Linked DNA regions of Tamandua tetradactyla. The protein of the gene in region 1 interacts with the protein of each later gene in a pairwise test. Links are inferred from orthologs where the notes say so. Each region holds a gene or a part of one and is shown in the gene's direction. Other genes may lie near its edges.

The links. The genes of interacting proteins can lie anywhere in the genome.
Region 2: the proteins of BAG6 (region 1) and SPP1 interact in binary tests that used the Homo sapiens proteins (3 or more experiments, as listed by UniProt). The link is inferred for Tamandua tetradactyla from reciprocal best matches to the Homo sapiens genes BAG6 and SPP1.

Annotation. Positions count from the first base shown.
Region 1 is NC_135331.1:87,239,931-87,247,728, reverse strand, and holds the start of BAG6 (large proline-rich protein BAG6), read left to right. Parts: upstream 1-4,742; 5' UTR 4,743-4,851; coding exon 4,852-4,854; intron 4,855-4,877; exon of another isoform or gene 4,878-5,008; intron 5,009-5,110; exon of another isoform or gene 5,111-5,114; coding exon 5,115-5,231; intron 5,232-6,289; coding exon 6,290-6,407; intron 6,408-6,521; coding exon 6,522-6,721; intron 6,722-6,965; coding exon 6,966-7,019; intron 7,020-7,181; coding exon 7,182-7,256; intron 7,257-7,798. Other genes in the region: APOM (apolipoprotein M), read right to left, coding at 504-664, 834-932, 1,025-1,098, 1,376-1,530, 1,849-1,962. UniProt on the Homo sapiens protein: ATP-independent molecular chaperone preventing the aggregation of misfolded and hydrophobic patches-containing proteins.
Region 2 is NC_135350.1:38,798,113-38,805,300, reverse strand, and holds the start of SPP1 (osteopontin), read left to right. Parts: upstream 1-4,172; 5' UTR 4,173-4,309; intron 4,310-5,243; 5' UTR 5,244-5,257; coding exon 5,258-5,311; intron 5,312-5,423; coding exon 5,424-5,465; intron 5,466-7,188. UniProt on the Homo sapiens protein: Major non-collagenous bone protein that binds tightly to hydroxyapatite. Appears to form an integral part of the mineralized matrix. Probably important to cell-matrix interaction.

The DNA of each region.
Region 1 (7,798 bases):
GGGAATGGGAGTGACCCTGGAGACAAACACCAGAATGATGAGGGTTGAAAAATCTTTATTATTTTTGAAAGGAAGTTGGGAGTCTCCAGCTTTTCCCCCCACCAGAATCTCAGCTCCCACAATATCTGTCTCAAGGCACAGAGAGAGCCAGAGGTCAGTTGCTGGACAGCTCGCAGGCCTCTGTGGCAGGAGGGAGGAAAAAAAAAAGAGGATAGGAAGGAGGGAAGACCATGAAGAGGAGCAAGGCTGATGGTAGTAATGTGTTCCTTTGTTCCCCTGTGCCATTTTCCCTCCATGTCTGGCCCCGGCCTCCCTTTACCCACTATGAACTCAGAAATGGCTCTTTTGAGTAGGTTAGAGCCCATCTTGACTAAATCCCCAGCCCTTGACCAAATCCTTCTGATGCCATCATAGCCTTTGACCCAAATGGAGGTGTCAGTCCAGCTACTCTGATGACATCAGCCTTTGTTTATGCCCTCAGGTGACATTACATGAGCCCTCCTTCATCCAGCATCCCCAGACTTACTCAGTCCTAGTCTTCTGCAGTAGGAATTTAACCCCTCACCTTGATTCTTGGGAGTCAGTAAGAAGGCCTTGGAGTCCAGGCAGGAGGTCAGGAACTGGAATTCCTCCACACACTTCTCAGGAGGATGTGGTGAGCGATCTGGAAGGGCAGGGCCAGGACAGTCAAAGGCCCTGCTTCTCAGCATCACCCTGGTGAGTACCTCATGGGCACGTCACCCCTTCCTGGGGTGATGTTAAGGGATTCAGAGTAAGGGCTCTCTTGCCTTCCTGTTTCCCTCTGACCTTTCCTGCCTTGCATCCCCACTCACTGTAGAAGAGGAAACGCTGGTAACCCTGGCCCATCTCTTTCAACATGATTCCTCCTGGGCACGAGCTGGAGAAGAGCTTCGTTTTCATGTCAGGGCGGCCTGTCAGGGTGAGTGGGGGGGCAGGGGATGAGGACAGAGATGCATAAGCAAGGCCAGAGGACATGGAGAGGGTGAGGGCTGAAGGAACCAACCTTCAGTTCTAAGATCGGTGCTCCCGTCAGTCAGGTAATAGATCCACTTCCGGGGCACACAGAGCCCGTTTTTCCTACAGAGGTGGTGGTGGCATGAAGGACAGACTTAGAGACACTCCAACCACATAGTCCCAGCCTCCCTTTACTCCTCCTTGAAGGAAACTTGGATCCCTGTGGATTTCAAGCTACCAAAGAATGGTTAGATCTAGCTTTCTCTTTCCAAAGGGAAATAAGTACTACTGAGCCAAGAATAGTGGAGGTACCAGCCAAGAGCCCAGCTCTTGGTGGATGAGTGCTTACTCTTTGGGCAGAGACCACACCCACTGACACCTCTACCTCCTCGTCACTCACGTGCGGATAGTAGCACGAAGCTGGAGGTGTCTTGGGGCAGAGTCAGTAGTCATATTGAAGACAATGTTGTCCACAGGGTCAAAAGTCGCCAATTCCTCCCTGGTGGGAGCTGCCCCTGCGATAAAGTACCACCGACCTAGGTGGGGCTCTGGAAACTGAAGAGACAATTTGAAAAGCAAATTGTCAGTCAGGATAGGCATTGGCTGCTTTCCTCTTTGCAAATGGGGGTCAGATCCATGACAGCAAGTCATCAATGACTTGGGTAGCCACCATCCCACCCCACCCCCACTCCAATTCTGCCATGTCTCCACAGTTATGGCTTCAGAACTAAAATCTTTCTCCCTGCTTTTGTCATCACAACACTCACAGCATCTTCTTCCCCTCCTTTCCCCATGTGGCTTCTGGTCATCCTAAGCCACCCACCCAAATTCCCCAGGGCCTCCACCATAGGCTTCACGTGTTCTCTTCCATACCTCTTTCCCATCCACTCCCAGAGTTGTCAGTTGACTGTGCTCAGGGCAGTAGTACATGGAATCAAGGAGAATGCCATAGAGGTAGAGCAGAGCTGCCCAAATTCGGTGGAACATCTTCAGGCAAGAGGGAGCTGGTGCCCTGTGTGGGGTGGCTGGTCCCTGTACTGCTCTCTCCCCTGCTGGCTGCTCAGTCCACTCTGTTTCCAGCCCCCTTGCCTTGATCCTTGACCCTTTCACCTGCTAATGAGTAACTTCAACCTTGTTTTCCAACCCAAACCAGGATTAGTGTTCGGACCTTCCTCCCATCTCTATATGCAGCCATTCTAGAGTACACCCTAATATGTCTGGGGTTTCTCAGGAGTTATGAGAACTGAACCCAAGTAAAAGCCCTTTGGTCTGTCAACCCATAGCTGAGCTGTATCTGCTGTGTTGTGCAGCATTGGAGAGTCTTTCATTCATTCACTTAGCAAACTCTTTTGAGTCCCAGCTGTTTGTTAGAAACTGGCTAAGCTCCAGGGACTTCAAGATAAGGCACAATCCTGGGCCTCAAGAAATCTGCCTTGGGAAAACTGACTATATAAACAAATCATTACAATACAACCTAAGTGCTGTAGAACAGGTATGATCCAGACAGTGAAACATACTGGGTGATAGGCTTTCTTTCTATAGGAGCTTGTTTATAATTGAGGAAACAGTGCACATACATTCTGGAAAAGTTTGCTGGCATGTAAGTGAATGCATTTGTTCAATGTTTATTGCCAAGTAAGAGGCTGTATCATCTAGTGTTAAGATCTTTGGTATAAGGCAAATCTGGGTTCAAACCCAACTCTGCTTATTAGGTGTTGGGCAGTTTTATTAATCTCTATGCTTGTTTCTTTATCTGTATAATGGGTAAATCGTCCATCTCATAGGATTAAATGAAATAATGCACATAAAGCCCTTAGTAGAAGGCTGCACATAAATTCAAAGTAAAAATTCATTGTAATTAATGTTTGCACTTATTAGTTTCTGATGGGTACTAAGTTCTTAATAGGAGGTAAGAAGAACTGTGTAGAAGCAGTAATTGGATAATCCCAAGGGAACAGAACAGTTAATGCAGTGAAAGGGGGCTTTCTTAATAGATTATTCATAATTCATGACTGTCCCCCCAAATTTGTCCTGAGAGGTGAAACTTACTATAAGCTTGCAAAATTTAGTTTAAAAACAAAACAAAAAATAATCTGGATGATTGATGTATATAAGGGTTCATACTACTACTACTACTACTTTAGGGTGTGTATGAAATATTTTATAACAAAAAATAAAAATACATTAATTTATTGGGGCAGCAAAGTAGAAGTACTTGACCCAGAGTCTGGCAAGCCTAGATTTGATCATCAGTTCTTTCTGCCAATTAATGTTCGTCTAAGTGAACTCACCTATAAACCCGACTATCTCAGATGAAAAAAGCTTAACTATGACAACAGTACGTAAAACCCTTAGTATGCTGGCTGGCATAAAATAAATGCTCACTAAACAGATGTTTATTAAAGTCTTAACTGAAACAGTACTGGAACGTGGGTATATAAAAACTTCAAATCCTGGGAAGGTTGGTCAGCGCAGGTTGGCACCCGGACAAAGACAGGCCTGGCTGGAGGGGTCGCAACGGCGTAGGGGCAAAGACCTTGTTCGGTGGGGAGTGTACAGGGACGATAATCCCAGCCCTGTCCCGGGCCTGCCGAAGTCCCTTGACAGCCTCAATTTAGGGCCAGAGTCTCGTTTTTAGGGCCAGTCTGACTTCACTTGCTCCCAATTCCCAAATTCGGAGGCATTCCTTTTCTTGACACATCCTGAAAGAACCCACAGCTTTTGAAAAACATGGCATGTCCCCTCGGTCGTGCACTGCCAGAACATGGCGCTGGCACCCCACGAACGCCCGCCGGTCAGCGTCGAAGTCTCTCCAAACGACGCAACCGGACGCAGGGGGACAGGCGGCCCACAAGCTGCCCCCAACCGCCCGCAGAAAGGGTGACTTTCGAAGATGCAGAAAGAAGAAAGAGCGCGACTAGGGCGACAGTGAGAGGAAAGCAAAGTTTTAGGTGGCTAGAGCAGTGCCGCCTCAAATTCTCCGCCTGTCAGAACTTTGACATAGATTAATGAGGCATAATCCTGAGTCCCCAAACTACAAGATTCATACAACTGTTCAAAGTATCTCTTGAGGCAGTCATGGACTCCCGTCTGGTAATTTATTTTCAGGCATTTATAGTGGCCACCTGAACTTTATAGCGCTCACGCGCGCACAGGAAACACGAACCGCGCTACCGGGGGTGGGGAGGCGCTTCAAGTGTGTACGCACGCGTATGTAACGCACGCAGGCGCAGTACGGTCCCCCAGGCGACGGCGGCGGCGGCTCCTCGGGGTGGTCGGCTCCCTCCCATCTAGGCCGGCCCCGGTCCGTCTCGCCCCCAGGAATTCACTGTTTGGGGCTCTGGAATTTCTCGTCGAGCCCCACAAAAGGAAAGCTTGGGGGTCTTGCGGAGCCAGAAGTGCCGCCTCGCGAGCCCCTAATACTGTCGGGGAAACGGAAGTGGCCGTCGGTGGCAGGTTGGGGGAGACCGGAAGTGACGGTACCGTGGGGGAAGTAGGGGGCGGGGTTGCGAGGTGGTGTGCGTGCGTCTGTGTGTGTCTGTGTGTGTGTGTACGTACACACGTGCGTGTGGTTGGTTGTGTGTTGGTTGCGCCGCTCTGTTGGAGCACCAAAGGCAGGCGGAAGAGGGCAAACAGCTAGCCGTTCCGTCCCTCTTGAATGTCCGCGGTCTTCGGTCCGTCGTGACTTACGCGGGTTCGATGGGCGTGGCGCGCGTGCGCGAAGCCACTCTTTCCGCAGCGTCTGGACCGAACCCTGCTCGCGTTATCCCAGGGTTTGCCGACCTCTGGGGCCCTTTTTCTATTGCGACCGGTGATGACACTTCTGGTCTCGTGCCTCCTTCCTTCCCTGCTTCCTAACCTGACTGGCCCTCTTTTATGGTGATTGGCATCGTGGAGCTCCTCCCACCCCCGTCTTATAGTTCCCTAGGCCGTCGCTCTCTTGCCCTTTGTGTTTCTCTCCTTGTGTCCCACAATTAGAAGGGGGATGGGGGAGCTTATGAGTGCATGTACTTTTGTCGGAGAAACTTTTTAGGTATTGGGACGGGGGCTCAGGCCAGGGAGGCTTTCGGGAATATAAAATCTGGTCCGGGCGACAGCGGGCCTCCTTCCCTCTCTTCCCCCCATTCTTCCCTAGATAGCTGTCGGCCATGGAGCGCAGTGATAGTACCAGTGCCGCTATGGAGGAACCTGACAGCCTGGAGGTGTTGGTGAAGACCCTAGACTCTCAGACTCGGACCTTTATTGTGGGGGCCCAGGTGAGATCCTAACACTTGTGGAAGACATTGATTACTTCTTCATTTTGTAGGCTCTTAGCCTGAGGGAAGAGTCTGATTTTCTTGTCCTCAGGTTTTTTTTGTTGTTGATTTCTTTGTTCATATTCTGGAACAGAACGTTTTTTATTGTTTTTTGATGTTTCTGTTCCTGAGACAGATTTTGTTTTGTCTTTCTCTTCATCTGTAGATCTCAGTACAGAGGGAAATAGAAAGGAAGGAGGACTCTGTAGGCCATTGCAGCTGGCCCTCAGTGCAAAGGGGAAACAAAACATGCAGACCCAAAGCACAAGTGTGTTTTGAAAAAAAAAACTGTCAGGCCTAAACTCTATTTTTAAGACTGGAAATTAGAGCCCATTATGTGGATAGTGCTTTAATAAGCAGTTGAGTAGGAATTATGACTGTTTGTGGCATAATTTAATCTCAAGTTTAATGCTATGGACACAGCTGTACTTTACTCTTGTAATATTTGGAGACAAAAATCTTGAATGAGTTGGTGTGTTTTTTTTTAAACCTGATATTACATGCAGTGTTTAAGAAAGCCATTTAGACTTTCTGATGCAATGTGTGTAAACACCCTGGTACTTCCCAAGTTGTTTAGGAAAAGTGTTTTCCTTTTTACTCCATTTCTAACCTCCTCTTTGGTTGAGTTTTCCCCTCTTAACCTGATCCCCCCTACCCCCATCTTCCTTGTCATTGGTTTTATCTTTGAGATTATGAAATAGTCTGTGGTTAATCATTTTTGTTTGCGGAGGGGTTACTGGTATCTCTAGACACACATTCCCTTGGGAGCCAGAGAAGTGGAAGGAATGCAAGTTGGCTTTTCTATTTCTCAGCCATGTAATTCTCATCTGGGCTTATAACCTGAGTTTAACTGACTTTATTGTCTGTTTTGGCAGGTATGTTTTCAGCTTAGGGTTTCACAATCGAAATAAATGGGTAGTGATTTTTATGATGGTTTTTACCTCTCACTCTAAGGCAGCTGTTTCTCTTGTGTTCTTCCTACATTCCCTGATTCCTATCCTTGTCTCTTCTCCTTGCAGATGAATGTAAAAGAGTTTAAGGAGCACATTGCTGCCTCTGTCAGCATCCCCTCTGAGAAACAACGGCTCATTTACCAGGGTCGAGTTTTGCAGGATGATAAAAAGCTCCAAGAATACAGTAAGAGTATGGGAGGGGCCAGTCAGAGGTTAAAGCTGCTGTGTGGCGGGATGGGCTGAGTCTGTGGGTTTACCTAATCATACGATGTCTTGGTGTGATTTTTCTTTCCTGTAGATGTTGGGGGAAAGGTTATCCACTTGGTGGAACGGGCTCCTCCTCAGACTCAGCTCCCTTCTTCTGGAGCATCTTCTGGAACAGGGTCTCCTTCAGCCACCCATGGTGGGGGTCCCCCACCTGGTACTCGAGTTCCTGGGGCCTCTGTTCATGACCGGAACGCCAACAGCTATGTCATGGTTGGAACCTTCAATCTTCCTGTAAGCTTGTGTTCCACATGGGAGGTTTTTTTTGTAGGGAACGGTAGATGCGGTTGTGGTAGCAGCAGGGCACTCCTGAGACAGGTGTCTCAGGTTTTAGTGTGAATTTGGAAAGCCCTGTGGTCTGACATTGGGTTTGATCTTTGAGAGACAAAAAAGGATGGAACTCCAGAGAATGATTTGGAGGTATGCGGGCCTTAGTCTTTGGCTTCTCCCAGAGCAACTTCCCTTACCCTTTCCTCAGAGTGACGGCTCTGCTGTGGATGTTCACATCAACATGGAACAGGCCCCAATTCAGGTATCACAGGGCCTGGGAGGGTCAGGGAAGGGGATCTGGGAGAAGGAGGCCTTGAGGTGGGGTTGGGTCTGGCTGAGGAGATAGCTGGGTCCTGCTATAGTAGGTGCTGGAACACATGGGTACATCTCAAACCTGCCCTGATCATCTCTCCTCTCTTCATAGAGCGAGCCCCGGGTCCGGCTAGTGATGGCTCAGCACATGATAAGAGATATACAGACCTTACTCTCCCGCATGGAGGTGAGTGGGTAAGGCCAACCAGCCCCAGGACTGGGGTCATGAGTGGTCACATCCACAGGATTCTTCTCTGCAATCTTCATTCTTTGGGGTAGAAAAAATATCCTTGTGAGACTATCTCATCCCTCCCAGTCCTCTTGGTGCCTGTATTTAAGAAGTTTGTTTCAGACTTGTCAGATAACTCTCATGGCATCTCCTTTCAATTAAAAATTTTAAAGGATTCAGTTGTTTTTTGTTTAATTTCTTAGTTAACATATTTAGCATTGAGATATCCTAACCTCATTAGTTTGTGTTGTAGGCTGCAACCTGTTGTCTTCTCTGTCTGCTCGTAAAGGTTAGGAAACCACAGTCTCTACTTTTTGTCAGTAATTTATTTGTAGATGTTACAGGTATTTATTATGTACCTAATTTATTTAAGTCTCATACTATGTATTGTACTAGTTCCTAGGAAGTCAAAGATACAAACACAAAGCTCTGCCTTCCTGAAGGTAGAGCACATTCTCCACTCAGTCTCCTTGGACCTGAGTAGTCTTTTGCAGCAGTCT
Region 2 (7,188 bases), on another chromosome or scaffold:
TGGAATTATTTGCTGCTTTGTTTCCAGTTCTTGTCCACTTTCCTCTGATTTCCATCTTCTGTTCTGCAAGAAAATGGTCACTTTTTCATACTAACCTTATATTGTGATGGATTCTTATCTTCTTCTGAAAACTACTTCACTACCATATTTTCAATAAGAATTCTCATAAATGGAATTCAAAGAAGGCTTGTCTCCTCTCAAATACGATCTGCAAAATGCCTATTGCTGATTGCTTATTGCTGAGAAATACACATATCTGCACCCACACAGTCCTACAGCTGCTAGACTTTTATTTGTACCTCTGCAGCTTTCTACCTCCCTCTCTGGGTCCTTTTTATTACAGACTCCTATTGTTCCCCGTGTTGCTGCAGGGATTCTGTGCCAAAATTCTATGCCAATGTAATTGATGTTAGGTGGGAACAGAGTTTTTCTGTTTGTGCTCAATCCCAGAAGACACATCTCCTCAACCCCAATGTAGGCATAGGGCCTCTACCATCTGCCTTCTCTGTCCATAGCCTCCCTGAATTTATTGTTTAATCACACCTCCTAACCTCAGTAGTTGCATGGGATCATATTCTTTAGTTAGTTTTCCTGAATAAATGGGCTCCATTGGGCTAAGGATGGTGCCATTTTAAGAAAAGAAAATAGTTAATGATCTATATCCACTCTAAGAGTCTATAAATTAAAGAGTGTGGAATGCCCGCAGAGATGGTGGTAATAATTTAATAAAGAAATTCTACAAGATTCTTGAGCACTGGTAAATATTAAACATCAGCATATGAGATATATATATACTATGGATTCAATCACAGTGCCCATACAAGAATTAGTTCTTATGGATGAAGGGCTGAGTGCTTAATCACTGATAATATACTGAGTGTAAAATTTACTCTATAACAATTCCATGGATCCAAAGAGAAAATGTTATAATTTGCTTTAAGTAAAACTAATGTTTACCAAAACCCTGCTTTTCAGGAGCTAGATTTTGTTGTCTAGGTCATTGAGCCACAGGATAAAGGGCATTATGGTGTGTCTTTTTTATTTGTAATTACTGAAATATTCAAATTTCATGCCAGAACCTAATTCATCCTTACCAAGACTACAAATGATGAATATTGTGCTGGACTTCTGATTATACTTAGTTCTAATTCCCAAGTTTGCTAGGACAGATTAGTGATGTTCTCAAGATAAGCATTTGAATTAGATTCATTGTCTGAATCTGAACATTCAGGGCAAAAAAATAATTATTTGCAGAGCTGAAAAAATTGAAATAGATGGCAATACCTTACTACATAAAGTGTAATTAGGCTAGTCAAAGTAAGTTTGAAGCCAGTAAAGTTATCCACCTAAAATGGACATCTAGGTACTTAATGTTTCCTATTAAAATGGGAATCTTCATGTAATGAGGAAAAAATATATAATGTTGTTTATATGTTTCCATGTATCCCCTTAATATTTTAAGATAATGAACCACTCTTTGCATTCTGGTGTAACAAGAAAACTTTTTCCTTTCCACGTAGCAAAAGATTTACAAGGAATTCAGGCATTTTGACCTTTCGATTCTAACAACCACTAGTCTAATCAAGTATGGAAATAGTGTGGAAATACTACAGAGCAAGTGTCTCTGACTTAGTTCATTTAATGTGTTAATTCTGACAGTTGGAAAATCTTACTCACAAAAGACTAAGTGTCAGCAGGTTTGATTACAAAACCCAAGAAACATGAGCCTCTTGCAGTCAGAATGACACAAGTATCCATTTAATACTTTACAGAAGAGCCTTTTCAACTCTGCAGCATCCCAGACGTATTCTTTAAACATGCATTCATAAGGCTTTATTCTGAGTGAGAATAACGTTTTGAGTGAATGTGGGAAGTGGGAAAGGAGACAACAGCATCAACCTGGAGTTGCTGAAGGCAAGACCAGAGCAGAACAAAAATGTTTTGGTTTTCTTGGTCGCTGTATTCCCAGTTACCGCATGGTGGGTCATTGTTGGGAAATATTTCCTCACCTGGCATTCAAGAAAGGGAGGACTCACAGCTGTTTTATAGTTTTGTCTTAAATAGTAGTGGATGTTCTATTCTGCCGGAATAAGAAAACTGATAGAGCCAGATTGTGGTCTGAGATTCTTTTCCGAAACACTGCCATCGTGTGGCACGTTGGAGCCATTATGACCAGAAAAGTCCTGGAAAGGGTCATATGGTTCATCTCAAGATGGTTGAGTTCCAACAAAATCTATTCCTATAACTCAACTCCCTAAGTTCATATTAAATCATTCCCGTGGGCACAAAATAAACTATAGTGAGTCCTGTGGGGACAGCTAGTTGTTTTTAGAATCTGTGGACTTGCCCCCGCTAAACTGACAACATGACAAACATCCCGTGGGTAATGTGTTTAAGAAAAAAAGTTGTTGAAGACAGAAACAAGGCAACTGTTTTGCAATTTTATATCCATGTGCGTTTATATTTCAGAGAGGCACAATCTGAATTATTAAAATGTGCGCATATAACCCACAAATCAACAATACCAATTCATTTTGAATACATCCAATTTAAAAGAGACCCAGTTTCCCTCATGAAATGTTCATAAAATCTAGTTACTGTTTTTACTAACATAGCAGGAAATTGTTTAAATCTAGATTTATTTTAAAAGCAATATTTGGCAAATAGGAGCTGACACTTAAGAACTTATAATAAATAGCACCATTTATCTTTTAATCTCACTTTCATCTGCAATGATTACAATGAAAGTGTGAGGTAAATGAATAGTAAAAACAAATTTCACAACTGGGAAAGGTAGGTAAAAAGATTAAGTTAATGTCAAGACAATATGAAATATTTAAAACGAGCTCAGAGCTCTACTATCCCTGATTTCTGCTCCATTATTCAAGCATCATCTGTAATTTTCTTTAAATACCTTTACGTATCCAGTAAAACTTTTTAAGTATAGAGATATTTGGGTTTTTTTTTCCTTTTCTAAGCAACCAACCATAGATGCATATATAAAAAGATGATATAGAAATCTAATCAACCTTTCAGTGGTGGGCAAATTACCCTATTTCCAGACACAACTTAAAGACCTAATAACTAATAACAAACTTCTAATAATCTACTCCATCTAAAGATATTACAAATCATGACTAACTCTTTTCTAAAAATTACAGTAATAGTTAACACTCACACAGGGCTTAATATAAACCACACATTTGCATATACGTGCCAAGCACTTGCATATAATTTCTGTCTGGCATTGATACTTTTAATTTTTCAATCATTTAAGCTTCTCAAAATCCTTATAAGCTAAGTAATAGTATGTCCATTTTACAGATGAGGAGACAGGCAAAGGTAGGTCAAGTATTTTGCCCAAGATTCCTCCACAGCTAACTAGAGGCAGGACGGGATTCAAAGCCCACTCCCTTGCTCCTGAACCAGCCCTCTTCAAGCATTCACCCTGTTTTCAGTCTTAAACTGCTTTACTACAGCAACATCTAGAGTAAATAATGATTCTTCTATTTTATATATAGCAAGTTATCAGATTCATCACCTCCTAACAGCTCACGCATCCTCATCAGTGCAACAAAAATCTGTGTCCTTGAAACATGACTGTAAATCCGACTTAACGGGCATGAACATAAATTTTTAATATCACTAATGCCATTTGTCTAAGTCAATGAGCTGCTGCATCTTTGAATACAAAACTAAGCTTTAGTAGTTTAGTATGGAGGGAGGCTAACTGAACTCTTCATATGCTGTACAGCAATATCTTTTCAGCTCTTCAGTATGTCTAATCATGGAGACAAATTTGGCTGTTACTTAAACGGAAAGAAACAAAAAAATACATACTATTTCATTTCATTTAAGGTTGATATATATTAATATTTTTCTATTAATTCAGAAACTATGCGTAAAATCTTGATGATGGTTACTCCCTCACCCCTTTTTATGGGATCCCCTACGTGTACTTCCATAATGATTAATGCCAACCTCAGAAATGAAAAAGCTGGTTAATGATATTGTTCATAAGTAACATTTTAACTGTAGAGGAATCTGTGCTTGTTTCTTGTTTGTTTTGTTTTGTTAAGCCACAAAACCAGAAGGGAAGTGTGGGAGCTTGTGGGCTGGGCAGTGGCAAAAAAACCTCATGACACATCTCTCCGCCTCCCTGAGCTGGTGGAGAATGTCTGGAGCAGCATTTAAATTCGGGGAGGTTCTGGTCGTCAGCAGCAGACAGAGGAGGCAGGAGAGCACAGACTCATCCAGACTGAACTCTTCTCTGACGCGTTGCAGCCTTCTCAGCCAGACACCCACCGAGGTAAGCCTGCAGGCTGCATCACTTTGCAGTACTGTAAAACATTCTGTTTAATTGCATGGGGGAAATTCAAGTAGCAAGGAAAATAGTTTAATCAGGCTGCTGCAAGACAGACAAATTATTCTAGTCATTGGAATAAGTATGCCCGATACAGTGCAGATCTCCTGGAGGAAAGGTGACCAACTATTTTTGAAAACCGGTCAAAAATAAAACAAAAATACTTCTACCAGGTCCTCAGAAAGAACTGAAACCTCTGCTTCAAATAGGAAAACAAACCCCAAGAAGCTAAATTCTGTGCCCTTTGGAATTATTATACCTGTATCATTTTAATGGATAGATGGTTGTAGAAGCATTTAAAAGGAAAAGGACATTTAGTACTAATGTCACACAATTTAATACTAATTTTATTATTTCATTTAGTCCAATTTCAAGGGGAAGAGTGCCTTTCTGAATGTTTTACATCTGTATTTTCCTGTTAATTTTTCACAAAGACACTTATATGATACTATGGAGACTCATTATTACGAAATAGAAAAGCTGTTGACTGTTCTCAATGTTTTCTTTTTAATTTCAAATTTCTAGAATGTCCTACTTAAGTAACTAACTTTAAAGATAAGTTCAGTTCACCTAAATAGCACCTTTTCAGCAATTTAAGTTAAAAACTACATTTGAAATGCATGCTGGAAAACTGGTACAATCTTTGGAATTCTCAATTTAAAAGTTAAGTGAATATAAACTTGTGAAATCCCTCTCTCCCTTGCTGAATAGTGAGAGATGGAGAAGAGAGGTAACATTATAAATATTAACTCAAAATGCCATAGCATTAAAAAGAAACGGTTTTGCTAAGAAGTGATTATTTTGAAATGTGATAGCATAAATAAGTATCATTGATTTAACCTACAAAGATGTCATATGCTCCTCACAAAATATTTTGCAGGAAAAATCACCACCATGAGAATTGCAGTGATTTGCTTTTGCCTCCTAGGCATCACCTATGCCCTTCCAGTGAGTATAGCTCAATCTGAAGGAAATTCTTGAAAATGAAAGAATTATGCAGTTCCATGTGCTAGAAACATTTTATCATCCTCATCGTTCTTCTTTTTATTTCTGTTTCAAGGTCAAACACAAGGTTGATTCTGTCAGCTCTGAGGAAAAATATGTACGTACCTTTTAAGTTTATCATTTAGTTTATCTATGCAATTACTGTAAGAGGTTTTATAAACATATTTGTTCCAATTTTACTTATTATCAAAATCAAGACTGTTAATTTGTTAAGTATTTATTGCCTGCTTGCTATGAATCTAGAGCAGTACTAATTTTTAATTAGTACATTTATAATTTTTAATAAATGTATGATCTTAAAACCAAACTAAATTTTCAATGTAGCAAAAAAATGTTCTACGGCCATTATCACTTCTGTAAAATGAGTTCCATGAAATTGCATGACTGTTTTCTTCCCACGAGTCAACATAATGTTCTAGAAGGAGAAAATTCCATTCTTTGCATTACTTAGTGGAAGGCTAAATTAAAAATTCTTCTCAGATATTGGTCAAGACTTGTTGTAAGGCCATAGTGCTCACAATATCTCCTAAGATATTTGCTAAGAAGCCCATTGTCAAAAGAAAGTCTGTTTTATGCTGTTGGTATCAGTGGTGCTTGCCAGCTGACTTTGGATCACATTTTCCTAGTCAAACACAAGACCAAATCAAATTCTCTATTATACTGATTTGACCAGCACCCTAGATGTACCTGCCCCTCTGCAATATGTGAAACTGTGCCAGCCAAACAACAAACAGGCATTGTCCCAAGAGTTTAGACAAAAAGCCACACAAAGTACACTTCCAGAAGAACAGAATAAAGGCCAGTACAGAGTTGCCTGGGATCACTGCAATTAAATTACTTGGTAAAGATATTCAGAGAAGCATTGCTGTGTGTCTGCATGTGCACCTGCGTTTGTGCTGAGCATGGGTGCATGTGTGTGTCTGTTTTCCGATTGATTTGAGAAGACAAGTGTTGACTCGCAATAATAAACCAGGAAAAAAATAGCATTTCCAGAGAAGATGAGGTCGTATTATTTGCTGCAAGAATTAGTGCCTTTTTAATAGAATAAAATATGGCAAGGATGTATTTTTAAAAGGTACATAAAAACATGACAGTATAAGTTACTAAATAATATTTAGAAAATAATTGAATAAGCTCGTCTCAACCTTTCAGAATTCCAGAAATTTAGAACTAATAGGAATTATGGAGAAATCTATAAGGATATACTTATACTTTACAAGGTAAAGATAAAAATGATTACTGGGTTGGTCAGTCCATTTTGCTTTTGTATTACTTTTTAAAAATTATAAATGTAATTTATAAATACCTTCTCTCTGAGTATGTATCATCTCTGAGCTTGAGTCATCAAAAAAAATAAAAAATATAAAGGGAAACTCTGAGCTCATCTACTCCAGTGGTTTGCACATCTATTAATTGGAGCCAGTCATATCAGAAAACCAAAATGCCATTGATTGGTGCCTTTCCCATACATATTCCCTCAAGTGTCTGATAAAGGGACTCTGCGGGACCCCCAAGGCTGTTATTCTCAAATGATATGAAACAATCTGCTCTGGGTGATACAGCCTATCAGATGACACTTACTCATAACAATTCCCACTCCTCTTCACTACCATATTACAATTGTGTTCCAGATAAATAATTTGGCTAAAGAAAATGTTATTTGATTTACATCTTTGGCAACTTAGAAAAATAGAATTTTCTGTAATTTCACTTTTCTATATCTGCACTGTCAGATAAAAGATAGCTACTAGACATGTAGCTACTGAGTACTGAAAATTGTGACTGGTGCAACTGATGAACTGGATATTTAATTTTTATTA